Linked DNA regions of Caenorhabditis elegans. The protein of the gene in region 1 purifies or fractionates together with the protein of each later gene. This does not show direct contact. Each region holds a gene or a part of one and is shown in the gene's direction. Other genes may lie near its edges.

Region 1 (6,955 bases):
TCCAAAAATTTCAACGAGTGTTGACAATATCTCTTTCTCTCCGCGTGTGCTCGTGCTTCAATCTTCCCCCATCCGTCGGTCGCCACCAATTCTCTCTTTCACTTCTGACGCGATTGCTTCATCATTTTGATGCTTGCTGTTCAATATCAAGCATTGTTGTTCTCAGTTCCCCCCCCTCCCCTGCGACAATGCCTTTCACCTATTCTTTCCCTGGTCGTTTGGACGTCTAAATGACACACAAATCATCGGATGCGAGAGCATGTAACTACTGAAGAATACGTAAAGCAGCATGTGAGCTGCGCTGTTGTAATGTAACAAATTCCGATTTACATTCAATTTGCCCCCGCGTTGTTTTCTACATTCTCTAATTATCCATCCTTAAGAATCTCTTCATTTTTTCTTTTTGTGTTGCATATTGTGTTGCGACCTTCTTTTTCTTCTTTCTTCGACACGACAAATCGATGTTTGCTGTCAAAAAATGGAAGCACCTCACCTAACAATGCAGAGAGTCTGATTTAATCTGTGAAGTTTTGACAAGTTCGAATGAAGACATATTGTTGATCTTGGTAATCATTAATTTTTTGATCGGAGACATCATGTGTTTTGGACAGTCTCATAAGGAAAATATTTAACAAACTTTATGTTTTGTGAAACCTAGTCACGTCTGATAAGATTTGGTAAGTGTTTTCTTCAAAACAAAAAATTAGTATTTTACTAACGAAAAATTATCACAGTTCTCATTAAAAAACTTTTATGTAACATTTAAAATTTAAAGAATCGTCAGTGGAAATTTTTGTCTAACTATGTTTATAATAGTCCATAACCAAAACACTCTAAAATTTTTATATGTTCCCAAGTTTTAGGAAATATACCAATTTTCTAAATTTGGTTTTTTAAAAAGAAATTTCGAGCACTGATGCAGGTGTGAACCACTATAGTGTTTTATGTATTATGAATAATTTGAATTTAATTATACTACAAAATGGTCAAGAGAAAAGTTGAACTTTCCCCACTTTTTTAATGTAGAAAAAATTAATAGCTCAAAAGTAGCAAGTGAACAGTTTGCCTGATTAAACATCTGTTTTTATCAAAAATACAATTTAAAGTTTTAATTTAAATTTTAAAAAATATTTATTATTAAACAAAATTCTAAAAAGTTTTTTTTTCACAAAGCTAGTAAATGTTCAGAATTATTTTTTCCCTTCTTGTAAACTGGCAAATTTTTAATACTGAAATATACCGCAAAAACCTGAAACTCAGAAATGTTCTTAATGGAAACCTGAACAGCTTGCTAATTAAAATACATATTTTTGGCCAATTGATGTTGGCTATTAACCCTTACACTTTTTTCTAAGAAATAACAAGTGTTTTGTCCGTTGACAATTTTACAATAAATCCAACGAGGAAATACTAAAAAAAGTTCAATTTAACATTTAACCATTCAATGACGTTTTTTTTGTTTGAAACCTTAAGTGGATGTTGCTCTTGAGAAAGAAGAGCCCATCGAAATCTAGAATAAGCTCAAATTCTCATAAAAAACGAGACGTCTACTGCCTTGCACAAGATTATCGAATTGCTGGAGGGAAACCTCACAATACGACAAACCGAGATGTTGACAATTTTGTCATCCGAGCAAAAAAAAAAGAGGGAAAAATGCCATCAAATATTTGCCACTTGGCGCTCGACTCGTTAAACATTGTTTAATTTTTTTTCAAAAAATGTTCGAACTTTCATTGACCCATTTTCAAAACTTTAATTTTCTTAAGGAACAATATAAATTTAATTTTTCTACCAAGTGTGTAGAAATGTGATGCTGGGAGAAATCGAAAATTCAAATCATGTGTTGTTGTTCTTTCTTCTCATGCCGAGCAGCTTGCAATTTTCGGGCGAAAGCCCTCTCCACTTTTTCTCTAAAACTATTCGCTTTTTCTCTATATATGTAGCTCGTGCTCATGCATAATTTCGTCGTGTGTCGATTTTGTTTTCCGACGTTTTTGCACTCCGAGTTAAGTCACTAAGCTCCCAAGTTAATTTGTTTTTGATATAACCTTTTGAATAAAGACAATTTAAATTCTAAAAAAACTGAAAAAAAAACCGAAAAAAGAAACAACTAAGTTAGCAGTAAATTGGATTCTGTCATTTCAATTTACATTGTTGTTGGTTTAGTTGCATTCCAGTACGAAAAAAAAGGCGGCAAGACGCAATTTATTTCTAGGAGGTTTTGAATTTTGACCTGGGCCCGCCTCAATACCCGAAACCCGTTTTTCAAAGAGGTTTCCTTACAAGGTAGAAATATATCATTACACATCGTCCTTGGGCAATGCTATTCGTTTGTTTGCGGATAGAATTTTTTACTATTTTCAAGCAACTTAATTTCATTAGAAAAAAAAGTAAGTCAATTGATTTACAGATAATTTGAATGATTGACATTTTGTTCCTTGTTTAGCATTTTCTCACTAAAATTACTGAGCATTATTCAATAAAAAGTTTCTGCAGCACTCACTGAATGCACAATTCATCAAAGAGCAAACACAATAGCGTGCATTTATATCTTTTGTTTTTATCCATCTCAATGAATTCCTTTCCGTTTTGAAATTAAATCTCGCTGTCACATATTGCACATCCCACAACCCTAACTTCGTTTTATTGTTATATAACTTTCTCGTTTTCTCTTGCTCAAGCTCTTGTTCTAAACACTCGACTTTTCAATCGAACTGTTACTATTGTAGAAAATGGTTCAATATTTGCTGATAACGGCGAACGTCGGATCGCTGTTCGAGCCGGATGCTCGGTTGCACACTTCATGGATTAAAACTGTTGCGGATGTATGTTTAAATATTTTTGCAGTATTAAATTTAATAGTTCATAGCGAACTCACGCAATGTCTCATAGTCAGATTTTTGGTTCAGAATTACATAGTTTTTTACAAATGAATTAGTCCTATGTTTTGCGAATGTGATTTATTAATTCAAATACAAGTGTGAAAGCCAAAATTATTGAATTACATTTGAATTGGCTCCATCGATATTTTGGTTATTTAGTAACATTTTCGCATTGATGCTTCTTTTACTTGACCCTTACCGTCAGTACTTTCCTGATACGATTTTCTTAAAAATATGTTTCCAAGAAACATTGAAATTACTCAAGTAATAAATTTGATACAAGTAATTTTTAAAATTTTTAGCAAGTTGAAAGTGTTGACCCATCGTTCTTTGTCATACATCTTCAAGAAACCGGAGGAAAAAAATTTACTGAATGCTCACAGCAAGTCCCAATTATCATCAATCGTCTCTCCACAGCACTACCAAAATTTGATCTGCTCAGAGCATACGTTGACATCGATTATGAAGCTATTGAGTACACAGTAAGAATGACAATAAAATCGTTGTTTCTGAAAATTTATTCTTTGTTTCAGGCTCTTGGAGCATTGTGCTTTATAAAAAGATCCTTGTGGTCGAACGTTTCTCAATTCAACTTTCACACAAAGAAATACGAACAATTGACAAGCCCGAAGGAAGTAGTGACTCATGGGCTGGAAAACTACCCATACGTCGTCAAACACAAGTTTCCTAAAGATTTTTGGCCTTCTATCAAATGGGGACGTAAAGGATACATGCAAACAAGGTGGAAAATTGAAAACAAGTTAGTCCCAGTTTTCTTTTTTTTTTTTTAGTAAATTCCTTTTTCAGAGTTTTCGATTTTGTTAACGCACATCTCTTTCACGACGAATCTAACTTGGCCCTTATTCATGAGGTTTGTTTGAAAGAAAATGTTCAGAGCATATAAGGTGTTTTCAGAACCCACAACTATACAGCCAAAACCGGAAACGAGCACTTGACTTTGTGCTCGCCGAGCTTTCGTCAAAGGAAAACGGGTGCACGCCTCTGCTCTTTGTTTTTGGTGATCTCAATTTTAGGCTGGACTCTCGTTCTTTCTTAAACGTAATGGGTGACAAATTGCTAATTGGAAAACAAATAAAGATGTTTTCAGCGCTTAACTGAACGTACTGCTCAACATCCAGTCGCCGACCAAGAGCAGATGGGCTCCCTGGCCGATGGTCTTCAGGCTTCGGCTGCAAATCTTCAAGTAATCACCCACCCATCCGAAAATTTGAGGAGGACAGTTTCGGCTATTGAGTTCCGCAGAGAATCGGATAGCGATGATAGTCAAAAGTATGATTATTGAAAGTACAAACTTAAACAAGAACCAAAGAATTAAAATTTCAGCAGTTGTGTTCTACGGATCGAAAAAAAGAAATTTGACTATTTCAATCACAAAAAACTACTGGACGACTGGCGATCGTACAGAGATGACGACAAAGAAACCGAAAACTTTCAGAGCATGTTTGAGATGCATATAAATTTCCCTCCAACATACCCGTGGAGTGAAGATCCAGAAAATTCCGAAACTCTGATGAAGACTAGGGCACCCGCATGGTGTGATCGGGTTCTGATGAATAAAAATGCATACTCGTTGGTGGAAGAAGGAGAGCCTCAGTATAGGTCATTTGGAATGGAAACTTGTACTGGAGATCATAAGGTAATATTCTAATTTTTGGAATATTTTTATTAAAATACTATATTTAACAATGACATAATTTAGTGTAGTTTTATGTAGTGAGAGACAAATATCTTTTTTTAACAGATTTTTTGGTTTTTTTTTAACTCAGATTTTATAATTAAAAAAAATGCTTTGAAAAGGTTTTGAAAATCTTCACAAATGATTGAAACTTCTCAAATTAACTCATTTTTATTCAAGATTTGTCAGTTTGTCGTTGACTAGTTGACTAGAAAACGTTGACTGGAAGCTGTGAAAAAGAAATGGGAAAATTCATGTCAAATTTTTATTAAGAATTCGAGTGAATTTAATTTGATATTATATTCAGACTATTTTCAACAACTTGTTGTTGCTATAAAAATAATTCCTTAAAAAAACTTTATTTAAAAAATTTGAAATTTTTTTTTAAACAGTATATCAAAATAGCTTGAACAGCATTAAATAATACTATTTTTAAACTTTTTCAAAGAATTATTCAGAATTACAAAATAAAAGTTAACTTGTGTTCAAATTGAAAACAACTTTCCTGAATACTTGAATATCAAAAAAAAACATGTTTTAAATATAATTTTGAATAGCTTTATGATGATTACATTGGATTAATATGTTAAAAAAAAACTACACTAAGACCTCGTTTTAGTTTTTATTTTAAATAATCTTTTGAATTCTAAAACTCTTTAATCAACAAAAAAATTTGAATTATTATTTTTTCAGCCGGTCATGCTAACATTCAACATCTGACATGGTTTTCCATTTTCCCTCATTTTGGCCAGCCTCCATTTTTCTTTTTTTTTTTCTTCATCTCGAAGCTACGGATAAACATTTTCAAATTGGCTTGCGCGAACTCTGAGTTTCGAATACCTACTTTTTGTTCTCGTTGTTACTATCAATTTTCAAACTCTATCAAAATTCCATTTTTTCCCAGTTCGCTTTTTTCCGCTAGAAAATTTATTTTTTCATTGAATGATCAGAAACGTGTTTCTTTTCTTTTTTCTTTTTATTTTCATATAATGCACGGGGAACTCTTTAACTTTTTAAAACAATTTTTATCATAATCGATTTTTTGTTTCTTTTTCTCTCCATTTTCAGTGATGTATTGCTAGTCTTATACACTTTTTGCTTTGCCTGACACTTTCCATCAGTATCAATCAATTGTTAAAACGAATCATTTGATAAAATTGCGATCTTATTATAGATTTAATGAAAAGATGAACATTTACTCCAGAAAATTGATGAACAACCAATAAGATTTGTAGGTATTAAATGTATTGAAAAATGAAGCGGATTGAATTGGAAAATGAATCGTAAACATGTTTAAAGAAAGGATTATGGTTGAGTCTACAAGTTTTAATGATTTACACTACAAGAAAAAGTTGATTTATTAGAAAAATGTAAAGTTTTTGTTGCGTTATTCGGGTTGGTGAGGAAGCAGGCGGCGATATTTTTGGTTTCATTGCTGGATTGCCAATTGTGGGAGTGGAGCCTCGACAGTGAGCACGCCATCAGTCGAAAGAGTCGATGAGATTTGTTCTGGGTTGGTGCCTCTTGGAAGAAGGAATTCCTGGAAATTTGATTGTATAGATTAATGCAACTGAATGAAGAGTGACACCTTGGGGCCTCGCTCCATATTTTTAGCCCCAAGAGAACTGTTTGAATTCTAAAATAAAAATAAAAAACACCCACCTGGTTGTACTCTCTGAAAACGGTGCGTTGTGGGGTCTTCTCCTCGTGTTTGGCGTGGACAAGAAGACGGTTGTCAATAGTCTTGACGGTAACCTCCTCTGGCTTGTAGTTAGCTACGTCAAATCTGGAATTTCAGTTTTGTTAAATAAAAAATTCAGTTTTTCTCTTGACTGGTAAAAAATAAGTTTTATCAATTTTTCGGTTATGGTACAGATTTTTTTGACTCGAAATTTCAATTTTATGAGTTTGTTGAATTTAGAGCTAACCAAAATGAAATGTGATTGATATTCATGCTTGGAATAAGAGTAAAATTTTTATGTATAATTTAAAAAAATAACTTTGAAAATATTTTTTCAACTTTGGAAATTGATTTTTGAAAAAGTTAAGGCGATTTTTTTCCTCAATACTTTCATTCATACATTGTTTGGCTTTGAACTTGGACGAGTTATTTGAACATCACAAAAATTCAAAGATTTTAACTTTTGGAGATTTTTCACTACTTTGTCTGAAAGTTTTGAAAAATCGGAAACATTTAGATAATTTTCAGAATATTTATAAAATTTGAGTTCGTTATTTTGAATAGTTTGAGGCCGGTAAATACAGAATTAAAATTATATTTTTAATATTTTTCGAATAAAATTTGAATCTTTTAACTTAATCTAAGAGTTGAAAATGCCTCAAAAAAGTACCTGAGACGAAGAGTCTTTCCATCACT
Region 2 (5,461 bases), 7.3 Mb from region 1:
TTTAGTATCGACACCATGAAAGTTGAATTTTGCTAACATCTCAAATTATGTCAATTTTTCGTTATCCCAATCTTTCATCTTTATAATTTATTTTGGTCCCCTAGTTATCTAAAATTGATTTATGAATAACTGAATAACCCTAGATTGACATGAAAACGCATACTAAACTGATAGAAATTGCATTATTTTTTTTTTGAAACTTTTACACTTCCCGGTTCATCCGTTTGTTGGTGGTATAATTTCTGTTTAAAAAAACACTTTAAAAGTTTTTTTCGAATTTTTATGGAGTGAATATCTTTTAAAAGTAGTGCAAACTTTGTTTAAATGGACTCCAGCAACAAAAAGTAAAAGGCGAATGGACACTGAAGTAAGTTAATTATCGTTTTAGTTTCGGTTTTTGAAATGGCTTCTTTCAGAAAAAAAAAACGCACTCATATCCTAAAAAGTGTTTTTCATAATAAACAAAAATTATAGTTTCTTCTGTTTTTTTAAATATAAATGTCACTCTAAAATTTTAACAAATTGTTCAGGCAGTTAAAGGAGGACTAACGGTTCGGACGATTTTGAACGTATCGACCCAAAATGGGCCCAAATGAACGAATTTTGTAATGAAATTGCTCAAAAAATTTTCAAAAATGTTTTATGGCGGTTCAAAATTTCGAAAAAATGACACTGATTTTAGCCAAAATCTCGAATTTTGCCCATTTTTCCGTGTCACATCTGTCCGAAATTGCTTTTATCATCCTTTATTGCAAAAATCATCAAAATTGGTTAGCTATCGGCTTTAAATGTACCTTAATCAAGGAAATTAAATGAGATAAACTACCAATATATGCAATAAAGGGTGATAATTCCAAAAAAGCAATTTCGGACAGATGTGACACGGAAAAATGGGCAAAATTAGAGATTTTAGCTAAAATCAGCGTCATTTTTTCGAAATTTTGAACCGCCATAAAAAATTTATGAAAATTGTTTGAGCAGTTTCATTACGAAATTCGTTCATTTGGGCCCATTTTTGGCTTATACGTTCAAAATCGTCCGAACCGTTAGTCCTCCTTTAAACATAATTTCGAAATCAAATATTATTTTTGAAAAACATGAAAATGCCAATCAAAATCTCATATTGTTTCGTTTGGTGTACGGTAACTTTTATTTTTGTTGTTTCAATTTAGCAGCCTTGTTTTAATCAAGAAAATAACTCATGAAAACGTGAAATTAGTTATTCGCACTTCTCGTGCGAGATTAAACAAGTGACATTTTTGCAAATAAAAAATTATTTTCGAGATTAGATTTTCGGCCAGAAAAGTTTTACGGCGGTATAAAACATAATTTGATAGTGCTGCAGCCGCACATATTGTGAAGAAAATAACAAAAAAAAAACAAAATAATTGCCAGTGAAATATCAATTATAATTGACTTTCATTTGACTTTATGATCTGGAACATCTTGTTATCGTCATTGAGCTGCAAGCTACTCCTGAACAACTTTCGTAGTTCTGAAATTGCAGGATAAATTTTTTTTCAGTGAACATACATAGCAGACTGAGCTGTTGGCACGAAAACCGGCAACTGTCGATTTTTTTCCTACCGCTTGTTCAAAAACTGTGAAAAAAACAAAACTTTAAAAACAGAATGGCGCCAGTTAGAATAAGCATACAAGTGCAAAAATTACTATTCAAAAAATGAAAGGTTGTGTTATTTTGAGAGTAGTCAAGTGGTGAATGAATACTTCAATTAAATTTTGAAATTATACGCAAATCATGCGACGGCACTGACCAATCAGCGTTACGTAAAGGAGACGACATACTTCGGTGATTGGTTGGCGGTTTCCTGAATAACACGTGTTTCAAAATTACATTGACATATTTACGGTTTGTCCAAATTCGTAAAATTGGCACTCTTGATCATATTTCTTTGCCTGTTTTTTTTGGCATTTTTCAGAGCGAGCTTCAAAAAAAACTATTCAAATTTTGCCACGCTTTTAATATTATTCACTTTTTCATTTAAATTTTAGATCAATTATAAATGGTTATTATTGAGTGATAACAATATACTTTTTCTAAACACGAATAAGATTTTTTTTTCGAAAATAGGTACCTTTATATGTTTCAAAAGTGTTGAATCACACGTGTTGCCAATCTGAAAATGGGATGGTATCTTCTTATTGACACAAGGTGAATTCAAAAATTTTCCTAACGTCACTGATAACACAACCGACCATTGAGTTTTATTACCTCGATTTTCACTTGCTCGCGTTTTTCACAGGACACGCAGGTTTGACTAATAATGCTAGCTAGAGCTTCTCTTCATTCAAATGGTGTGGATATGCATACCGCTGAGTATGCTGATTATAAAAAGGTGGGTCTTGAAATTGATTCAATTTTCTAATAAATTGTACAGCTAATGAGAAAATTGGAGTATTATAAAACTATGTTTAGGCTGAAGTCACATCTCATCATGCTCGAGACATAGTGCATATTAACGCAGGCGGCACAAGGTTAGTTGGGAATTGAGAACATGAGATCTGAGAATTTAACGAAGGCTTCAGATTTACTACACTTTACGACACTTTGGCACAGTCAAAGTCGTCATATTTCCTCAACTTTATCCGCATCGACCGCACCAGTGGAAAAATTGTGCTTCTTCAACAGAGAACTATTGTGGGTGACAATCTAGAAATAAATATACATACTAATGAGGATGCAGAATTTTTTAATTGGAGACTATTAGGTTATCTAGAAGCTAGCTGAAAGCCTAAATCCTACTGAAAAAACTTCCAACAATTTTTACTTGTGCTTTTTTCAGAATTATTTTTCTGAATTTCAAGAGAATGCTTTTAATCCTCATAGCTCTCTCTAAAAAAATTTCAATACAAATTTCAGCGTGATGAGTCAGGAGCAATCTTCGTGAACCGGGACGGGCGTCTGTTTGCATTCGTTCTGCAATTTATGAGAGACGGAAAGAACACTGTCCTGCCAAAAGATAAAGACGTGTTAGCACAGCTCAAAGTAGGTGTTTCATGTTTAATTTCATCGCCTTCTTAACCATGCGTTGTCATTGATAAGCACAGTTGCTTGTTTACTAGAGGTACACCGAGGTGTGCCTTGTGTTTTATGGGTATTTATGTGTTGGCGATTGTGTGTCACGAATATTGGTATACCTAATCAATTGGCATGGGTAGAGAAAATTAAGTTATACAATTTAGTCATGTGCAGTTACTATTTTATGATATTGTTAAGGAAAAACAATATGTTTTGAAAAATTGTTTTTTCCAGGAAATATCATTCAAAAATTAATTCAAAGTGCAATATGGAAAAAAAACCAACAAATACAAGATTAACACTAATGTCAACTATGTCAACAATCATAAAAAATAGAAACTATGAGATTTATGCAAAAAATGTGTAGCATACATAAGTGTGTATATTAAATGAATCTTGAAACACCAAATCAATTTATTGAAAACAATCACAACTTTTAATTTGAAAATAACTCCAATGATGTATGAATTGACAATACATATAAACTTCCCTTATTTTTTCCAGCGAGAAGCAGACTTCTTTGGCATGGAGGTATTCAAGTACCTAATTCAAGAGACACTTGTTGACATTGAAAAGGAACAACGTGCCAACACCAATGATATTGTGGATATTCGCAATTCGGTGAACCAAATTGCGAACAACACGTACTACAATAATGGAGGACGCATTTGAAGTTTACTTCCTCTTTCTGAATAACTTTGTTAATGACCATGAAATAACGGAAATAAAGTGCAAAATTGTGTGTACTTCTGAACGAACTTGTTGAATTTGGTGTTCGTTGAAAATTGACTTGGGGGATGGAGTAATCATATTCAAATTATTTTTAGTGATCCTTGTGAGAACATTTGAAACCAAAAAGATGTGCTTAAAATTCTGAACACTTTTAAATTAAGAAAAATCGGTAGAATCGAGTTATCGAAAATCAAAACGTCTTACTAAACTTCAATTACATTAGCCATAAAAAACTATAGAAAATATCGATTTTCAAAAACTAAATTATATTCAATCTTTTACAGATTTCTGAAAACCAAGTCAAAACTGATAAAAGATACAACTCGGAAAATTGCTCTAAATCAGCAATGTGGAGAAAAATATTTCGTTTAATATTTTTGATTGGGGGGGGGGACTTTATTGGTTGTCCTGAATCTCTCTCGAAAGTTAGTTTCCTCGCATAAATTAGTCTTGCGCTCTTAATTAGCATTGTTTCTGAGCAATTTTTTGTGTCTTGAAGCCTGCGTCGCTGCAGTTGCAACTGAAAACTAATACAGATGTTTTCGTGTACTGTTTATTTTTTGCCTGCAGTTAAAATAGATCTATTTACTTGTTTTGTGCAGACTTAAAAAAGTAACAATGTTCTGTTCAGTGTGCTCAATAGGTAAACAACTTTTTTTGAAAGTTTGTTGAAAGATACTTAAAAAATTCGAGCTCCATGTGAACATGCGCTATGAAACGTTATCTTGCCATGAATTAATCGTTATTATTATTAAAAATTCTTTTGATTTTTTTAAACTTTTGAAAACTATTAAAAATACATAAACATTTGCAAATATTTTGCAATAAAACTCTTTAAGACTTAAGTTTCTACGACTGCAGTTAAAACTATTTACAACGAAATATTTACAAGATGTGACCCGGAACCCGGAACATTTTGCCACGTTTAATATCAAAGCACGATCATTGAGCACCATGTTGACCAGCATGGTACGTGTAATATTTTTACACGCTTCGTTGGAGACAAATTACATGATGAAGTTTATTTATTTTGATAATCAACCAGTCGGATAATTTCGAAAATATACGATTTTGATCTAAACCCAAATTTTTCAGAATGTGCGCAAGTTCAGTTTCAGAGGTTCCGTTCTACTTCCCTGTACATTTTTTTTTCTGCGAATCACACTATTATATCTAACTCATAAAACCCTTTATTTAGTGGGCGCTTTTGCGAATAGGAGAAATTGTTCTCAGAATCCAATAGTTTCGAACACATTTTTATCACTGTCACGCAATTCAGCATGATTCAATTTCTGTCACGTTTTTCTCGCATTTCAGTCTATATCCCTTTTCAGCAGTTGTGACTCTACATTCTCTCCTAATCGAATTTGAAGCGTTCAACAATTTTCGATAAAATGACACCGAAGTATCAACTGTTTTTAATTTTTATGATAATACTTCAAACAATGTGCATGCTTTACAACATTGTGCTCCTCACAGCAACAATAATAAATCGTCGGAACGGTAGTTTTTGAATTTTAGGAGTCAATTACATTCAATTAATTTTTAAGCTGCACTCCCACTGGCCTATATTGTTTTAATGAGCATTCCCGGAATTCTAATTACAGTTTTCCTTAATGTTAATGTAGCTGCTTTTGCCTTCCTTACTGAGGAAGAATATGAAAGTGAGTTGCCTGTGGAGAGTTCTGA
Region 3 (9,507 bases), on another chromosome or scaffold:
CGCTTTATTTCACTCAAAATAGCCCGAAAAGACCGAATTTTGTAACTAGAATTTTTTTTTATAATTTCCAAAATTTTGAGAAAAAAAAAAGTTGGATTTCTCCGAAGAAAATCGGAAAAATTTCGGATTTTTTCAGTGAAAATCGAAAAATTTTCGGATTTTTTCAGGGAAAACCAGAAAAATTTTGGAATTTTCAGGGAATATTAAACAATTTTTAGATTTTTTTCAGGGAAAAACCAAAAAAATTCGATTTTTTCAGAGAAAACCTTAAAATTTGTGGATTTTTCAGAGAAAATTGAAAGAATTTGGGATTTTTTCAGAGAAAATCGAAAATGTTTCGAATTTGAAATTTTCTACTTAAAAAAATCTGTTTTCGGTAGGAATGTTCAAAATATCCATTGAAATTCGGTATGTTTGGGTCTTTTTTTCTTATTTTTCAATCTAAAAAGTAGGTTTTTTTCGTGCAAAATCCGTACTTTTTGCAATTTTCTGAGGCACTCGGTGATGTAGAAGATGAGATAGATCATTGTACGGTCCGCGGGACCTTTGATCTGAAAATTTCTCAATTTTAATAGGGAAAAATCTCGAAAATCAACCTCAAATTCGCGGAAAAAGATGTTCGGCTTGAAGTAGGTGAGCGCTTCGTCGATGATGTCATCCTGATTGGTTTCTGCAATAATTTTAATATATAATATAGGTTTTTTCAATCAATTTTTGAAGACTTACGAGGCGCTGGACCCTTGAAATTGGTTCGAATCGGAAGTTTTCCCATATTTGTGTTGCCCAATGGCAAAACTTTGAGTTCAGTGTCGAATTTTGAGTGGTATGCCGGCATTTCACTGAAAAATAAGTGTTTTGTTTGGAAAAATGCATAGAAAACGGCTTATTTTCGGATACCCGAGGGGGGGGGGGGGTAAGTACATAATGAGTCACTGCGGCTGCGAAAAAAAATCGATAAATTGTGAAATTCGAGTTTTAAATTAAAATATAAGTATTTTATTCGATAAAAATGCAGTTTTTGAAGCGATAATGTCGTTGCGGACGCGAAAATTAAAGTAAAACCCGAAAATACACTTTTATTCGGAAATTCGTGTTAAAATATATGAAAACTTGGAATTAATATGATTAATATCAGCTTACAAGTTTCCTATAATCAGATATTTAAGAAAAATTGGAAAAAATCAAAGATTTTCTGCTTTTTAAACGTTTTTTCTGATGAAATTCTCTCCAGGAACGGAAAAATAAATAATAATCTCGTGTAAGTTTACGGTAAACAAGGCGCGACATCGGAATATCGGAGCATCGTTTGGAAATTTTTAATGAAATTTCGCGATTTTTTGCGAAAAAAACGATAAATTCAGGGAAATTCCAGCTGCAAAACAAAGCAAAAAACGTTAAAAATGTATGATTTATAATCAATAAGTCAAAATATCACAGTGAAAATGTGCAAAATGTATAAAAATCAATCCCTCATCGCTTTCTTCTGAGTTTGCTCGATTTGCTCATGAAAACTTTGTTTCGAGAGCTGTATATAGTCGATCGGGGAGATTGTGAGCAGCGAAACCCAACGTCCCAGCGATTTGAACGAGTCGGCGGCGAAGATGAAGCTTCGAGCAGTTCTGGAAAAAAATCGGATAATTTTAGGAATTTTCAATCGATTTTTCATCGATTTTCGATAAAACCGATAAAAATTCAGTTTTTTTTTGGAATTTAGTATTAATTTTTCGTGTTGAGACCCGGAAAAAACGCACGATTTGAATTTGATTTCAAAAGTGAAATCCTTGCCAATCTTATTCTCATCACATAATTCGATAAAACAGTCTTCAATAATTAGTAGTAAAAATGGAGGAGCCGACGTCTCCTCTTCGGTTTTATTGTACACGAAAAGCATATTGGCCTTGAGAACACCCCAGCCGGCACGCCATTGGAAATCCTGAAAAAAACTTTTTTTTTTAATAAAAAAATCATTTTTTTGATTTTTTAAATTTTCAAATTACTCCAAATTTCCCATATTTTGTTTTAAAAAAATTCAAAAAATTTCAAAAATCTTATATTTCAGCTTGAAAGCGCGAAACAATTTTCAAACTCGCGCCAGAAAAATTCTCATTGGAGCGCGCCATGCCATGTCGATTTACGAGGGGTTTTTTTGCAGCCAAATTCGGTTTTTTAAACCAGTTTTCTTCATTTTCTTCGGTTTTTTTAAATTAAAATGTGTTTTTTCGTGTAAATTTGGGTATTTTATTATTTTAAAAATTGAAAAATCAGTAAGTTTCGTTCACTTTACACGAAATAAATTATATTTCAAAAAAAAAAAATCAAAGAAACTAAAATTTGCAAGTTTCTTTGATTTTTTTGTTGAAAAATTTTTTTTTTCAAATTTTAAAAATCATAAAATTATTTCACATTTTCACTTAAAAAAACGCGAAAAATATAGAAAACTTGTTGAAAAACTGAAATTTGCAAACAAAATCTCTCGTAAATCGACGCGACATGGCGCGCTCCAATGATAATGGCCCTGGCGGATTTTAAGCTGAAATATGATAAAAAATTTCATTTTTTTATTTTTTGGAACTTTTTTGCAATTCCACTTTTATTACGGAACGACTAAATTCTGAAAATGCGTACCACGCAACATATTTGACGCGCAAAATATCTAGATACAGTAAAAAATATTTTGCGCGTCAAATATGTTGTGCAGTGCGCATTTTCGGAATTTTGGGTTCCTGTAATAATACAAGACGATCAAACTCTAAAGCACCTAACAATTGGTTTGATCTCCACGAAAACGCGAAAATATTTATCTTTTTCACGAGGTCAAAGGGTCACGGAGCACCTGACATGTCTGTGGTGCCATGCCCCGTCTCCCGAACAACTGCTTCAGTACCTGCTGCAACTGCAAAGGTCCCGAAAATCTTCTCTCAAACGTCGGATCCGAACCCAGCCGGAATAGTGAATTTGCGTTGGCGAGCATATCGTGTGTGTGGTGCTGCTGGAGAATGAATTGGATTTTTATATTTTTGGCTGCTGCGGTGGCGATTGGTTGTGAGGCGAGACAGGAGAGAACGGTAAGAATTAAAGAAATTTTTTTAGGTGGAGTAGCGCCAGTGGGGGGAAATTGCTTTAAAACACGCCTATGGGGTCACAATAACCGAATATCATGATAAAAAAATTCAAAAAAATTTTCTAAATTTTATATGATTTTTTGAAAATTAAAAAAAAACCAGTTTTCACCTAATTCCTATTCGAATTACCGCCAATTGGATTTGTTCGATGGAGCGCGCTTGCACGATTTTAAATTTATTTATTTTATTTTTTGTTACTTATTTTCCACCGATTTTTAATGTTTTCGGTGTGTATTTTTGCTTGAATTTTGAAGAAAAAGTCAAAATAAATGCAAATTTTCGATTAAAAAGCACGCTTACAGGCGTAAATCAGTGAAATTAATTAATTCAGGTGTGAAATCGTTTAAAAGCGTTACTTTTTCATTTTTACGCCTGTAAGCGTGCTTTTTAATCGAAATTTTGCATTTATTTTGCCTTTTTCTTCAAAATCCAAGCAAAAATACACCGAAAACATTGAAAATCGGTGGAAAATAAGTAACAAAAAATAAAATAAAATAATTAAATTTAAAATCGTGCAAGCGCGCTCCATCGAACAAATCCAATTGGCGGTAATTTGAATAGGAATTAGGCAAAAACTGAGATTTTTTTCAATTTTCAAAAAATCATATAAAATCTAGAAAAATTTTAAAAATTTTTTATCATGATATTCGGTCATTGTGTTACTCCACCTTTAAAAATTTAAAAAAAAAATCAATATTTCAGTACACAGTTTGCCAGAAGCCTGAAGGCGACCTTCATTATTTCAAAGAAGGCCGAAAAACTGACGAAGAGCTGTGTGCAAAACGTCTTGCCACCGCTTATTTCCATGATGAAGTGAACCAAACTGGGTAAAATTGGGCTTAAAACCAAAAAATTGTTGTAATTTCGTGCAATTCAGATGGGCTTTCCTCGAAGTCGATGTGATCAGCCCGAAAATTCCACATTATTTGCAAGGATATGCTGCAGGATTTGCTGAGGGTAAGTTTTTTTTCAAATTTTACAATTTTTAGCTTTTTTTAAAATGAATTTAGCTTAATTTTTTACATATTCTGGCAAAAAACCGAACAAAATAAGTTAAAATACGCTTTAAAATCCATAAAATTAAGCAAAAATAAATGAAATAAATAAAAAAATGATGTGTAGATTTACGAGAAACATGGCGCGCATGCGGGATACTGGAGTGTCGTTTGCACTGAAATCTCTTTAATAGGTTTATTTAAGCTTAACAATAAGACTAGTTTAAACTCGACGGAAAATTTAAAATTTACGTAAAGAGAATTATATTAGAGAAATAAAATAAACATTTTTTTATGATGGCAGGGTTTATTAACTATTGGTAAGCTAGCCAAAATCTCATTAGAGCGCAATTGCAATAACGGAAATTTCAAAAAATTATTTAAGCAATTATTAAGGTCGCGCCACCCGTCACCTCATCGATCTTCACATCATCAACACCGTCAACGGCTACTGTGACGGAGCGAAGCATTTTTGCGATGAGCTCGGTGAGTTCATGGTTGACAATTTGAAGTGGATGGAGCAGGAGATCAGGGAAAATCCGGAAGATGAGTACTGGCAACAAGTGAATTTGACTGTTAATCAGCTTTTTGGTTTGATTCATGGATATGAAAACCAGCTGGGAGCAGAGATTGATTTCAAGCAGATTGCTGTGCATCCGATTTTGTAAGCTCTTTTTTCCAGGTCTCGACACGACAATTTTTTTTTCAAATGCAAAAATCTGTGCACCTTTAAAGATTACTGTCATTTCAAAAAAAAGCTTTATCGATTCACCATGTCTAGATTACGCCTTCGGTGCGCAGAGCGGTTTTTACTACGTGGCCGTAAAATAAGAAAACTCGGCCACCTTCATAACATGGATACGGAACATTTTCGCAAAAATCGCCACGGTGGAACTATAGAACCCCCTTTCGAGAACATTCTCGTCAAGTTTCAGAAACATCCCACGTCAAAAATCCCAGATAAATCATTGGCCGAGTTTTTGATTTTTCTAGGCCACGTAGTAAAAGCCGCTCTGTGGGTGGTTCATTTTTCAACGTCTGACTGTTTTTCAGCATGATTCAAATCGCCGGCGACCTCGAGGATCTCGCTATGAAATTTAAAAAACCAGAAAATCCGAAGAAAGTCTTCTCAGGCCCAGGACATTGCTCAGCGCTTGTTAAGGTTTAATTTCTCTAGGTTTTAGTTTTATAAAGTAATTTTTTTCAGCTTCTCCCGAAAAACGAGGATATTCTCTTCTCTCATGTCACGTGGTCTTCATACGGTACAATGCTTCGAATTAACAAGAAATACTCATTCAAAACTGGAGATCCAGGACAGATTTACTCGTTTTCCAGTTATCCAGGTAGATCATTTTTCTGAAAAAAAGTGGCAAAAGAAAACGGAGCGAGTTGCTCTGCTCTGATTGGTTGAAGAGTGGGCGGAGCGAATCGCTGATTGGTCGCGATTTTCGTTTTGAAGGTAATTCAAAATTGGTGGTTTTATAAGTTGGATATTTATTTTTCTCCGTTATTTTTGGGGTTTTCTGAACTTGACTTAGGCTTAGGCTTTGGCTTGGATTTAGGCTTAGGCTTAGGCTTAGGCTTAGGCTAAGGCATAGGCTTAGGCTTATGGTTAGGTTTTTGATTGGATTTAGGCTTAGGCTTAGGCTTAGGCATAGGCTTAGGCTTAGGCTTAGGCTAAGGCATAGGCCTAGGCTTAGGCTCAAGTTTAGGCTTAGGCTTAGGCTGAAGCTTAGGCTTAGGCTTGGCGTCAGTGGCGAGCGTCAGCTTTTAGGCTTGTGTTTACAGCGTTTTTTTTTTAATTTTTCAAAGGGTTCCCGTTGGCCGATCAAAGCGTTAGGCTTAGACTTAGGCTTAGGCTTAGGCTTAGGCCTAATCGGAGGCTTAGGATTATTTCAATTTTTAGAAGCAAAATCCCTCAAAAAGTTCAAATTTCCAGCTTCCATCACATCTACTGATGATTTTGTTCTGACCTCTGCCAAACTTGCAATCCTTGAAACAACAATTGGAAATTACAATGAAAAATCGCTCGACCTTATCACTCCAAATACTGTTCTCACTTGGATTCGTGCTGAAATTGCTCACCGAACGGCTTCATCTGGGCTACAATGGGCTGAAGCATTCGGGAGACATAATAGTGGAACTTATAATAATGAATGGGTGGTTGTTGACTATAAACAGTTCCATAGAGGAAAAGAAGTTCAGCCAGAGACTGGAATTATTCATGTTGTTGAGCAAATGCCGTGAGTTTTATAGTTATTTGTAGGCATGCCTACCTGTGTGCCTACAGAGACTAGGCTTTACCTGTAGGCCGCAAAAAATCTTATTCACGAATTCGTGGGGATCTAAATTTAAAAAAAATGCCACAGCAGCTTTCTGTGCCTGCGCCTGCCTAGTCTGAAATGGTTGTACCTAGGAGTGCAAATTTTTCTGTCTACAATTTCGGCAAGTCGGCAAATTAGCAAATCGGCAATTTGCCAAAAATGAAAATTTCCGGCAAATCGGCAATTTGCCAAAAATGAAAATTTCCGGCAAATCGGCAATTTGCCAAAAATCAAAATTTCCGGCAAATCGGCAATTTGCCTAAAATCAAAATTTCCGGCAAACCGGCAATTTGCCAAAACTGAAAACGTTTGCCGAACATTAATTTGCGGGAAGTTTTTAGAGGGATTTTTATAAAACGGAAACACTAAAAACTGTGCCTTTTTGAAATTTTTTCCCGTTTTCTTTAGATTTTTTCATATAATTTTCATAAGATGCGTACAAATTTGCCGATTAAAATAAAATTCTGACATTAAAAAAAACGTGCAAAACCTTTATTTGCTGAAATTTTTCGGCAGATCGGCATTTTGCCGGTTTGCCAATTTGCCGGAAAACATCGTTTGCCGCCCACCCCTGTTTCAATCAATAAAAAATTATTTTTTTTTAATCGACAATTTCCAAAAACAAAAAAAAATTCTCCTATTGACTGAAAATAAACAATTTTCTCAACAAATTTTTTGAAAGTTTTATTATGATTTTTAATCATTTTCCCATTTGCCTTCAATTTGTAATTTTGAAATTTTGAATTAAAAAGAAATTGAAAAATTTGCCGGGAATTTCAATTCCGGCAGTTTGCCGGTTTGCCAATTTGCCGGGAATTTCAATTCCGGCAACTTGCCGATTTGCCGATTTTCCGAAAATTTTAAATCCGGCAGTTTGCCGATTTGCCGGAAAAAAATCGTTTGCCGCCAACCCTTGGTCCAAACTTCCTGAAAAATCCAAAATTTCCAGAGGCCACATAGTCCATTCCGACAAAACAGCCCACTTATTCCGTGAAACCTATTGGCCAGGCTACAATCAACCATACTACAAACAAATTATTCGATTCTCTGACACTGACAAAATGGTGGAAAAGTTTGGTGACTGGTACAGTTATGATAAGACACCACGTGCTCTTATCTTCAAACGAGATCACAATACAGTCACTGATATGAGCTCAATGATTGCGCTTATGAGATCAAATAACTATACAAAGGATCCACTTTCCAAGTGTGACTGTAATCCACCATATTCCGCTGAAAACGCGATTGCATGCCGTTCTGACTTGAATCCTCTCAATGGAACGTACCCATTCAAGTCGCTTGGTTTCCGGGATCATGGAGCTATTGATGTGAAGGTCACCAACTCAAAACTTATCAATAGTCTGCAATTTACTGCTGTATCGGGACCACCTGGAGGTGTTACTAAAGATGTGCCAATTTTCGATTGGAAGACCAGTCCATTGAGAGAAAAAGTGCCACATTTTGGGCAACCGGATAGATGGAAGTAAGGAGCAAAACACTCACGTGGTGTCAGGATGTCCCTTGATCTACAAAAAATGCGGTCCCGCAATTCTCGGAGATCAAAAGATCAAACCGACATGGGACGTTCTGACACCAAAACGGCAGTAATTCTCTCAATGACTACTGTAGCGCTGGTGTCGATTTACGGGCTCGATCACAAAAAAATTCATTTTGAAAATCGAGCCCGTAAATCGACATTTAAAGGATTACTGTAGTGTTCGCTACGAGATATATAGTTATATTTTGCGCGTCAAATATGTTGTGCGATACGCATTTTCAGAATTTTTTGGTCCCGTAATAACACAATATGTATTTTCAGCTTTGCCCCAGTGACCTACAAATGGAGAAAAGATGCTCACCGCCATTACCATCTTTACCAAAAACTTCACAAGGAATTGTCTTCACTATAAACTTTTCTCTTTAAATTAATAAAGCAATCATTTATTTTCTATAAAGTGTAGTTTTTCGGCTTCTGTAGGGTTACTGTAGATCTGTGAAATTTAAGGTACTGTAGTGATACTGTAGGGTTACTATAGTTTTGAAAAAATTAGGGTTTTGTAGTGGTACTGTAGAGATACTGATGGGATACTGTAGTTTTGGAAATATCAAGGTACCGTAGTGGTACTATTGGGCTAATGTAGGGTTACTGTAAGATTACTGCACGGGTACTGTAGTTTTGGGAAAATTAAGGTACTGTAGTGGTACTGTAGGGTTACTGTAGTTTCGGAAAAAAATTAAGGTACTGTAGTGATACTTTAGGGATAGTGTAGGGTTACTTTAAAAATTGAGTTTAGAGCATTTGGAAAGGCTAGTAGGAAATAATGTTGGGATACTGTACTAGTACTGTAGGGTCACTGTTTGGGTACTGTAGTTTTGGAAAAAATTAGGTTTCGAGCATTTAAAAAAATATTGATTGGTGGTACTGACGAGGTACTGTAGTGATTTCGTAGTGTACTTCTAGGATTACTGTAGTTTCGGAAAAATTGAGTTTTAAGCATTTGGTCACGTGTTTCGGGCTACTGTTGTGGTACTGTAGGGTTACTGTAGTTTTGGAAAAAACTATTTTTTTTGTTGCATTTAACTAAAAATTAAATTGTAGTAGCGGTACTGCAGGGTTACTGTAGTTTTGTAAAAATTAAGATATTGTAGTGCTACTGTAGGGGTACTATTATTTTAGAAAAATTAAAGTACAGCAGTGGTACTGTAAGATTACTGTAGGCTTACTGTAGTTTTGGAAAAAACTATTTTTTTTGCATTTAACTAAAAATTAAATTGTAGCAGCGGTACTGCAGGGTTACTGTAGTTTTGTAAAAATTAAGATATTGTAGTGCTACTGTAGGGGTACTACTATTTTAGAAAAATTAAAGTACAGCAGTGGTACTGTAAGATTACTGTAGGCTTACTGTAGGTTTGGAAAAAACTATTTTTTTTTTGCATTTAACTAAAAATTAAATTGTAGTAGCAAAATATAAGGTACTGTAGTGATGCAGTAGGGATACTGTAGGGCTATTGTAGTTTCGTTAAAATTAAAATACATTAAGCTTGTTGTAAGGTTACTGTAGTTTT
Region 4 (9,326 bases), on another chromosome or scaffold:
ACCAATAACCGGTCTTCTGCATTCAAAAAGCACGGCGTAATGATCCTTCCCGACGGTTTTGAATAATTTATTTTCATTTTTCTCTGGCGATAATCCTCTGATGACACAAATACAGCACCACAGCGATCAGCCAAGTCTGCTACTACATTGAACCATTTAAAATTGAATGGATTAGTGATCTCCAGGAATTTAATAAAGCCCAGATCAATTAATTTCTGGAAAGCCACCAAATCATCAACTTTCGAGACTCCACAGTCTGACAGAAATTCCTGATAGTATTTCGGAAGATATACAGTGGTTTTGTGACCTCGAATCAGGAATAGAAGAATTATATCGGTTAATGGTTTGACTGGAAGATTCTGGAAATTGTATTTTTGAGAGAAAAGCAGCCCAAAAGCCCAGTGACAAACACCCACCAACTCAGGCTCATAAATCCAGTCTCTGCAGTTTTTGGTGATTTCCATGAAGGGCATCCACGTGTCATCGTCCATTGTGGCATTCAACACTGCAACGCCATCAATGACGACTGGCCGAAGCATTATAATCTTATTGGTTGGAGTGGTTCTCCATGTTAATTCAGGTGGAAATTCGTCAAAACCAACGGCGACAGAGAGGCTTCCTTGAAAAAATGAGGGTTTTGTGGGTGGCTACAAACTACAAACATCTTTTCAGCCTCACCAAAAATTCTAAATTGGCACTTTTTGGTGGAGGCGCACACTACACACTACATAAATTTGATTTTTGGTTCATTTGCTAATTTAAAAGCAATTTTTTTCGAAAAAAAAACCAAATTTTGAATTTTTGAGAAAAAAAAAAAATTAAACTTTTTAAGAGAAAAAAATAGTTTTGGATACTACAAACTACAAAAATAAGTTAGCCTCACTCAAAATGTCTTAATTTTCATTATTTTTCGTTGAGGCTCAGACTACAAACTACAACAATCAGCTAGCCTCACCAAAAAAATTTTCTATTTTTGGTAGAGGCTCAGAGACTACAAACTACACGAATCTGTTAGCCTCAACCAAAATTCTAATCTTTCATTATTTTTCGTTGAGTCTTAGACTACAAACTACAAACATCTTTTCAGCCTCACCAAAAATTCTAAATTTTCTAATTTGAAAAAATGATTTTTTCGTAGAAAAAAATAGCGAAACATTGAATTTTTGAGAGAAAAATTAGTTTTGGCTACAAACTACAAAAATAAGTTAGCCTCACCAAAAAGTTCACTATTTTTGGTAGAGGCTCAGAGGCTACAAACTACAAAACTCCTTTAGCCTCAACCAAAATTTTGAATTTTCACTATTTTTGGTTGAGGCTCAGACTACAAACTACAAACATCCTTTAGCCTCAACCAAAATCCTAAATTTTCACTATTTTTCGGTAGAGGCTCACACTACAAACTACAGGAATTCTCTAGCCTCACTAAAAAAATCTAAATTTTTAATCGTTTTTGGTTGAGGCTAAGAGACTACAAACTACAAGAATCTTTTAGCCTCAACCATTCACAAAGCTCAAAAATTATCGGAAATTTCACTTTTTCTCGATTTCGGGATGGTTTTTTTTTCTAAAATTTGATTTTTAAGCCGTCACACTACAAACTATACCTGCTCGAAATGAATGCTCGCCGTGCATTTGAATAAATCGAGAAATCAAATCCGCAATTTTTGCATCTATCAGCTCAAAACGTGTAATAAATGACTTTCCATCGTCCAAAATTTTTTCATGTCTAGCATAAACGAATTTTAAAATGTCGAAATTCGCTCTATCAAGAGCCAATTTCTCTTTTTCCGTATGCTCTTTATGTAGAATCTTCCATCCACCGTCTTTTACACTTATAGTTTTCAATGTGGTCGAAAGTTGACAGAGATTTCTATATCTTTTAACTGGATCAGTTTCCGTCACTTTTGCCGCTTCATATTCTTTCAATAAAGCTACAACTTTGTCCAGTTCCTTATCGAGCTCTTTCCATTGCTCAGGAGTTGCTTCTTCTCCGTCACTGTAATCTGAATCACTTTCTGAGCTTTCTTGATGTGTCGCTGGTTCTTCCCGATCACATTCATCATCTACAGGCACTGAAGTTGGTCCATTTCCCCAGAATGAGGTGCTCGGCTGATCGAACATTGATTCGGGGACGGAGATCAGATGTCCAGCTGTATTGAGCACTAGACGAGTGCCTGGTGGTCGTGGCGGGTCCATCTGTAATTTTTTTTTTTTTTGAACGAAGATGGGCTTCAATTGGCTAAAAATGGAGCAATTTAGCATTAAAGAATCGTTTATAATTAATAAATATTAGAAACAACACTTATTTAAACAATTTAAAAAGGAAAAATCATGTAAAATTATAAGTTTTCAGGGAAAATTCAGGAAAAATTCAGGAAAAAACAAAAAACAAAACTACGACACTCCACTATCCCGCGTTGCGCGTTGTTTACCGTAAATCTACACCATTCGAATTTCCGCGATTGCACAAATTTAGAATCGAATTTTCCAGTTTCTAGCAATTTAAATCAAAATTTTTTCAATTTCCAGCTTTGAAAAATGGAGCCAGTCTTCAAGGAACCATCACCGAAAAAAAAACGAGTCGAAAATCCACCAGAAAATGCTCCAGATGCCCCAAAAAAGCCACAACTCAAGCATGAATCAGAATTTTTGCGTTCAATCCCGTCTTCTTCCCAATACGAGAAATCATTTATGCATCGGGACACAATTTCTCACGTTATCGCGACAAAAACCGATTTTATAATCACTGCAAGCGTCGATGGACACCTGAAATTCTGGAAAAAGAAGCATTCCGAAGGAGTCGAGTTTGTCAAGCATTTCCGTTGTCATTTGAGTGAATTCTCACATATTTGTGCAAATATAGACGGTACACTGCTAGCGACCGTCTGTGAAGCGGATAAATCCGTAAAAGTGTTCGATATCGAGAATTTCGACATGATTAACATGATAAAGCTGGATTTCCCGCCGAAAACTGCGAATTGGGTACATCAAAGCAACGATCCGATCGCACATTTGGCTATTGGAGCCGCGGATTCTGGAAAAATCATTGTTGTCGATGGCAAAGCAACGGCCGCTCCGATTTGTATCAAGGACAAGCTTCATTCGACGCCAGTCAAGATAATTGAGGTTGGTTGAGGTTCACACTACAAACTACAACATTCCCCCAGCCTCAACCAATTCTGAAAACATTCCAATTTTCACTGTAAAGTCGCGAAATTACTTATTTTTTCTGTGATTTCTGAATTTTCCACATTGAAAAATCCCAAAAAAAAAACTTGGATTTCTGATAATGACGCTTGGTTGAGGCTCACACTACAAACTACAACTTTTCCACAGCCTCAACCAACACAAAATCCTTGTGGAAATATTGATTTTTCCTGGAAAAAACCGAGAAAATGTTCAAAATTTCTGATTTTTTTTTTCTTATAAACACTTTTTCACGGAAAATCCAAGTAAAAATCAAAGAAAATTGAATTTTTGAAGTGATTTTTGAATATCAAATTGGTTGAGGCTCAGAGACTACAAACTACACAATGTTATAGCCTCACCAAATTCAAAATTGTTAATTTTGAACGGAAAATTCGAAAGAAATGATATTTTTCGTGTTATTCTTCACATTTTTATATAAAAAAACCGGCAAAAATCCAAAATTTCACGCAATCCACGTGGATTTCTGACAAAAATACAATTCTTAGCTGGGGCTCACACTACAAACTACAACTTTCCCCCAGCCTCAACCAAAAACAAAATCCACGTGGAAACGTTCAATTTTGACCGAAAAAGCTCTGAAAATGATGGTTTTTAATCAATTTTTCTTGCAAAAATTTCAAAAGATCCCTATTAAGCCACTACAAACTACAAAACTCTCTCATATTTCAGTACAGTCAAAGTTTGGACATAATTGTGTCAATCGACGAGTCGGGAATGATCGAATGCTGGAACGGGGAACGTGGAGATTTTCAGTTTCCCGAGACGAAACTCACCTGGGAATACAAGCTAGAAACGGATCTCTACGATTTTGTAAAGGCGAAAACGATTCCAGTATGTGCGACTTTTGACCCGTCCGGCTTGAAGCTAGCCACGTTTGCCGAGGATCGAAAAATTCGAATTTTCAATGTAAAAACCGGAAAATTGGCGCAACTGATCGATGAAACAACACAGAAATATCATTGCGAAGCGAAAGAAAATAAGAATTACGGCCTACAACATATGGAATGGAGTCGGCGTCTTGCATCGGAAAAAGAAATGGATAAAGACAAGAAGAACTCGTTAAAATACACGAAAATCTGTTTTGATCAATCTGGAAATTTCCTTCTCTACCCGACACCAATTGGTGTGAAAGTGTTCAATTTGGTGACAAATGAGGTTTCCAGAACCATTGGAAGGGATGAAGCTATTCGATTTGTGGCTGTTTCACTCTGTAATGCACTTCCAGACATTCGGCAGAAGCTTCAGGGTGCTGCGATCACGCTGGAAACGGCGGCCGCTGATAATCCGACGCTTAACCGGAAAACCGATCCGGATCCGTTGATGGTACGGGGAGCTATCGATTTAAAAAAATTAATTTTCATCGAAAAATCATTTAAAGTTCTATTTTTCCTGAAAAAAAGTATTTTTAACTTTAAAATAATTATCGAAAATTGGAAAAATGTCATTTTTTGGCAAAGAAAAATCTTGGTTGAGGCTAAGACTACAAACTACAAGTCGTTTAGCCTCTACCAACAATGCACCCTGTTTTTGGTTGAGGCTATCAGTTTTTGTAGTTTGTAGTCGCTTAGCCTCAACCAAGATTTTTTAAATGAAGTTTTAACGAAAATTCATATTAAAAAAGTGTTTTCCTATTTTCGAGAACATTTTTTCTGAAAATCAAAAAAAAACTAGACTACAACCTACACACTTACACTGATTTTTGCAAATCCCAACTCTCTTTAGAACAATTTGGGAAAATGTTGAAAAAAATAAGTTTTACTCAAATTTTGTGACATTTTCATTTGAAAAATTCGTTAAATGTTCAATTTTTCCTGGAAAAAATGTTTTTGAATTTTGAAAAAATTGTCGAAAAATAGGAAAAATGACATTTTTTTTGGCTAAGAAAAATCTTGGTTGAGGCTAAGACTACAAACTACAAGTCATTTAGCCTCTACCAACTTCAAAATGAACTATGTTTTTTGGTTGAGGCTAAGCAATTTTGTAGTTTGTAGTCGCTCAGCCTCAACCAAGATTTTAATGAATTTTTTAACGATTTTCATATCAAGAAATGCAGTTTTTTCTAATTTCGATAAAATTTTTCAGAAATTATTTATTTTTTTGCAGTAAAAAACGAATTTATGCCTGTGAAACAGTTTAGACTACAAACTACACTCAATTTTTGGTTTCAATCTCAATATATCATTTTTTTTTGCACAATTTTGGGAAAAAAACTTTGAAAAAATAAAGTTAAGCCCCCCAAAATACATGGTTGAGGCTGAAATTACAAACTACAAACTACAAAATTCTCCGTAATTTCAGGTCTGCTGTGCTCTGCGTAAAAATCGATTCTACCTATTCACGAACACTGAGCCGTATAACGTTGAAGACGATGAAGGAAATCCGTCAGTTTCCGGAAGAGATGTGTTTAATGAGAGGCCAAAGAAGGAGGATCTACTGACAGCGTTGGATGTATGGTTTTGTTGGTTGAGGCTCAGGCACTATAAACTACACAAATTTCTAGGCCTCTGATGTAGTTTTGAAATTGGTTGAGGCTTTAGTGACTACAAACTACAAAAGTATTTGCCACGTGTATTTTAAAATTGAAAAATTATGTAGTTTGTAGTGTAATCCTGCCATAAAACGTATAATGCTTTTTAAAGTAGCATATATATTTGGCGTGGGCGGCATTTGCCGATTTGCCGGAATATTTCATTTTCGGCGAATTGCCGGTTTGCAGATTTGCCGGAATTTTCCAGTTCCAGGTAGTTGCCGGTTTGCCGGAAGTTTTCAATTCCAGCAATTTACCAATTTTCCGGAAATTTTTCAATTTCAGCAAGTTGCCGATTTGCCGGAATTCTTCAATTCCAGCAAGTTGCCGGTTTACCGATTTGCCGGAAATTTCAATTCCGGCAATTTGGCGGTCTGCCGGAATTTATCAATTCCAGCAAGTCACCGATTTGTCGGAATTTATCAATTCCAGCAAGTCACCGATTTGCCGGAATTTTTCATTTTCGGCGAATTGCCGGTTTGCAGCTTTGCCGGAATTTTCCAATTCCAGCAAGTTACCGATTTGCCGGAATTTTTTCAATTCCAGCGAATTGCGAATTTGCCGGAATTTTTTCAATTCCAGCGAATTGCGAATTTGCCGGAATTTTTTAATTCCAGCAAGTTGCCGGTTTGCCGGTTTGCCGGAAATTATTCAATTCCAGCAAGTTGTCAACAGGGCTGTGCGGCTGTCGGCTGTCGGCGTCAGCCGACAGCCGAAAAATCGGCCCCGTTTCGGCTGTCGGCGTCGGCGAAAAATATGCTTTTTTTGATCTACCTTTGGAACTTAACTCCGCCCCTAATCTTGTTGCTGTTGTATTTTCGTTTTGGTGGGAGGATCCTAGTCAACAAGGTAGATCAAAAATTAATTATGAGAAAAATTTGCGATCGTGTTTTTTCGATAATAACTATATTTATATACTTCATTTAAAAATAGTAGTCATATATAAACGTGAATTTTTATCCATTTATACAAAAAAACTATTTAATATTTTACAGACGGAAGGAGGTGAGAAAGTACTGAATAAAGAAGCAATAATCCATACATCATTCGGTGATATCACAATTCGTCTTTTCGGTGATGAATGTCCAAAAACCGTTGAAAACTTCTGTACCCACTCACGTCGTGGATATTATAATGGGCTAACATTCCATCGAGTCATCAAATCATTTATGATTCAAACTGGTGATCCATCTGGAAAAGGAACTGGTGGAGAATCAATTTGGGGTGAAGATTTTGAAGATGAATTTCATCCCAGACTTCGACACGATAAACCTTTCAAAGTTTCAATGGCAAATGCTGGTGGTGGAAATACGAATGGATCACAGTTTTTTATTACTGTATGCCCGGCTGATTGGTTGGATGGAAAGAATACTCTTTTTGGAGAGGTAAAAATAGAGAAATTTTAAAAATGTTACCTGAAAACGCTGTTAAAAAACAAGAAAAGGAAGAGAAAAGTGTTTTTTGAAAAAAAAAGTCTAAAATTTCAGTTTTTTTTCAGTAGACCGTATTTCAAATTGATGAAAATTTTAAAAATTAATTAAATTATTCTAAATTTCATTAAAAGCTATTTTGCTTTCCTTTCTTTTTAATTCGACCAAAAAACCAAAAAAAAACCTATTTTTGAACAGAAAAGGAAGAGGAAAAAATGTTTTCTGGGAAAAATATCGTAAGAAAAATGTTGTAAGAAAAATATATAAATTACATACGAATTTTTAAATTTTCCATAATAAAAAAATAGGTTTTTTAATGAAAAAATAAATACGAAATTTTGAAAACTTGCAGATTTTTAAGTTTTTCAAAACATTATTAATTTTGTAAAAATTGTGTTTCGAAAAAAGTGATTTTTTGAAAAAAAAATCCCATTAAAAATTAAAAAAAAACAATTTATTAAACTCGATATGCACTTTCACAAAAAATTCGAAAAAGTCACAACTTTCCATTTTCCGGAATATCGAAAAATCAAAAAAAAACTTGTTCAAAAAAATAACAAAAAAAAAATTTTTTTTGATTAAAATTTGTTTAATTTGTAGATGAGAAAAAGTACAATTTTTTATTAAAGAAAAGTATAAATATGCCAAAACTTTAGAGCTTTTTTCTCTAAAATATTGGAAAACCTATATTAATGCACAGTATAGAACCATAGTATAAAACCAAAAAAAAAAACCAAAGAATTTTTTTTTGGAAAAGCACACTAAAAGGTATCATTTTGCACATTTTCCTTCATAAAATCATTTTCAATATAGATATCCACGCAGATTTCCTCCTAATGCTCAAAAAATTGCAGGTAACAGCTGGAATGAGTGTTGTTCAACGGATCAATCAAGTATCGACATTCGAAAGAAGTGGACGACCAAGAGAATCAATTCAGATCATGTCAATTAGTTTGAAATAATTTATTTCTTTATTTTGCCGTTGTTTGAAATCCTGTCTTAAATTATTTTTTTAAACAATTTTTTCAATTCAATCTCTTTCTTTACTGTAAAATTTTTATTTTATTTCTCATTTTCTTAATTTCCCATATCAAATTACAATTGATAAGGCATTGCATAGTTATGTCGACTTGGTGTTGCATAAACGAGCATTGTCCTCCCTTCCCTCTCCATTTTACACACGAAATCCGAATAGAAATGGATTTTCGACGCGAAATCTCCGGTTCCAGCGATTGCTTCGAAATCCGTACCGAATGCTTTTTCACTGGCCGCTTGAAGCATTGAAGACATTTTTTGAAGATTGCAAGATTTTGAGCTTTTCATTTTCAGAGCGGTTTCTGACATCACTTTTTCGAGTTTTGGGTTGCAACACATGAAGCCTGGAATAGTTTTTTGTAGTTTGTAGTCTTTGAAGACCTAAAAATTCGAAATTTTAGTTTTTAGCTTTAAATATAATGCTACAAGATTTTGTGTCAAAAACGAATACAAAAAAAAATTGTAGTTTGTAGTTTCTGGGGCCTCCACCAACGTTTTTCAGCTTGGTTCAGGCTTGGTTAGTTTTGTAGTTTGTAGTCTTTCAAGATCTAGAATTGAAAACAATTGGAATTTTTTCCTAAACTACAAAGTTTGAGTTATTCTTGGTAGAGGCTCACAGACTACAAACTACGATTTTTCCAGTATTTTTTTTTAATTTTCCGAAAGTTTCAGACTAAAAAATTGATTGTATGTATCCCAAAACTGACTAAAAACCCGAAATTTCGATTTTTCCGACAAAAAACCGTACTTTGTAGTTTCTAGTTTCTGGGCCTCAACCAACGTTTTTCATCTTGGTTGAGGCTTGGTTAATTTCGTAGTTTGTAGTCACCGTAACAGAGAACTATTAATAACTTATTGAGCATTAGTTTTTTTTCCAAAAAAAAAACGAAATTTGTAGTTTGTAGTTTGTAGTCTCAATTTGAAATTCCTACCACGTGGAAAACTAGATATTTAGTTAATGTATTTGGTTGAGGCTAGTAAAATTTTATAGTTTGTAGTTTGTAGTCACTTTTAAAAACCTCAAACTTTTATTTCTTATGTTGGAAATTCTAGTTTGTAGTTTGTAGTTTATAGTTTATAGTTTGTAGTCCACTTACCACTAGTCTCTGTATAACACTGTTTCA

What was found.
Region 2: the proteins of ipp-5 (region 1) and F46G10.1 fractionate together in Caenorhabditis elegans (co-fractionation; one large-scale study listed by BioGRID). This does not show direct contact.
Region 3: the proteins of ipp-5 (region 1) and Y37D8A.2 fractionate together in Caenorhabditis elegans (co-fractionation; one large-scale study listed by BioGRID). This does not show direct contact.
Region 4: the proteins of ipp-5 (region 1) and cyn-15 fractionate together in Caenorhabditis elegans (co-fractionation; one large-scale study listed by BioGRID). This does not show direct contact.

What each region holds. Positions count from the first base shown.
Region 1 is NC_003284.9:6,028,740-6,035,694, forward strand, and holds ipp-5 (putative type I inositol 1,4,5-trisphosphate 5-phosphatase), read left to right. Parts: upstream 1-2,729; 5' UTR 2,730-2,732; coding exon 2,733-2,825; intron 2,826-3,184; coding exon 3,185-3,364; intron 3,365-3,415; coding exon 3,416-3,642; intron 3,643-3,689; coding exon 3,690-3,753; intron 3,754-3,797; coding exon 3,798-3,941; intron 3,942-3,990; coding exon 3,991-4,172; intron 4,173-4,226; coding exon 4,227-4,539; intron 4,540-5,271; coding exon 5,272-5,298; 3' UTR 5,299-5,744; downstream 5,745-6,955. Other genes in the region: hsp-25 (SHSP domain-containing protein), read right to left, coding at 6,008-6,118, 6,241-6,364, 6,930-6,955.
Region 2 is NC_003284.9:13,308,551-13,314,011, reverse strand, and holds F46G10.1 (BTB domain-containing protein), read left to right. Parts: upstream 1-2,256; 5' UTR 2,257-2,285; coding exon 2,286-2,357; intron 2,358-2,437; coding exon 2,438-2,496; intron 2,497-2,540; exon of another isoform or gene 2,541-2,547; coding exon 2,548-2,659; intron 2,660-2,881; coding exon 2,882-3,007; intron 3,008-3,544; coding exon 3,545-3,712; 3' UTR 3,713-3,785; downstream 3,786-5,461. Other genes in the region: srxa-8 (G_PROTEIN_RECEP_F1_2 domain-containing protein), read left to right, coding at 5,167-5,275, 5,323-5,436.
Region 3 is NC_003281.10:12,817,262-12,826,768, forward strand, and holds Y37D8A.2 (Putative phospholipase B-like 1), read left to right. Parts: upstream 1-2,879; 5' UTR 2,880-2,884; coding exon of another isoform or gene 2,885-2,971; 5' UTR 2,972-2,996; coding exon 2,997-3,065; intron 3,066-3,824; coding exon 3,825-3,949; intron 3,950-3,999; coding exon 4,000-4,079; intron 4,080-4,352; exon of another isoform or gene 4,353-4,503; intron 4,504-4,513; coding exon 4,514-4,781; intron 4,782-5,170; coding exon 5,171-5,279; intron 5,280-5,324; coding exon 5,325-5,460; intron 5,461-6,056; coding exon 6,057-6,360; intron 6,361-7,390; coding exon 7,391-7,924; intron 7,925-8,260; coding exon 8,261-8,351; 3' UTR 8,352-8,390; downstream 8,391-9,507. Other genes in the region: arx-5 (putative actin-related protein 2/3 complex subunit 3), read right to left, coding at 477-551, 597-670, 727-835; Y37D8A.25 (PH domain-containing protein), read right to left, coding at 1,463-1,619, 1,752-1,933, 2,885-2,971. UniProt on the Caenorhabditis elegans protein: Putative phospholipase.
Region 4 is NC_003279.8:13,565,249-13,574,574, reverse strand, and holds cyn-15 (peptidylprolyl isomerase), read left to right. Parts: upstream 1-2,527; 5' UTR 2,528-2,538; coding exon 2,539-3,126; intron 3,127-3,879; coding exon 3,880-4,533; intron 4,534-5,508; coding exon 5,509-5,658; intron 5,659-6,732; coding exon 6,733-7,122; intron 7,123-8,021; coding exon 8,022-8,129; 3' UTR 8,130-8,262; downstream 8,263-9,326. Other genes in the region: nyn-2 (Zc3h12a-like Ribonuclease NYN domain-containing protein), read right to left, coding at 1-359, 417-619, 1,605-2,196; grd-15 (Ground-like domain-containing protein), read right to left, coding at 8,263-8,546, 9,300-9,326.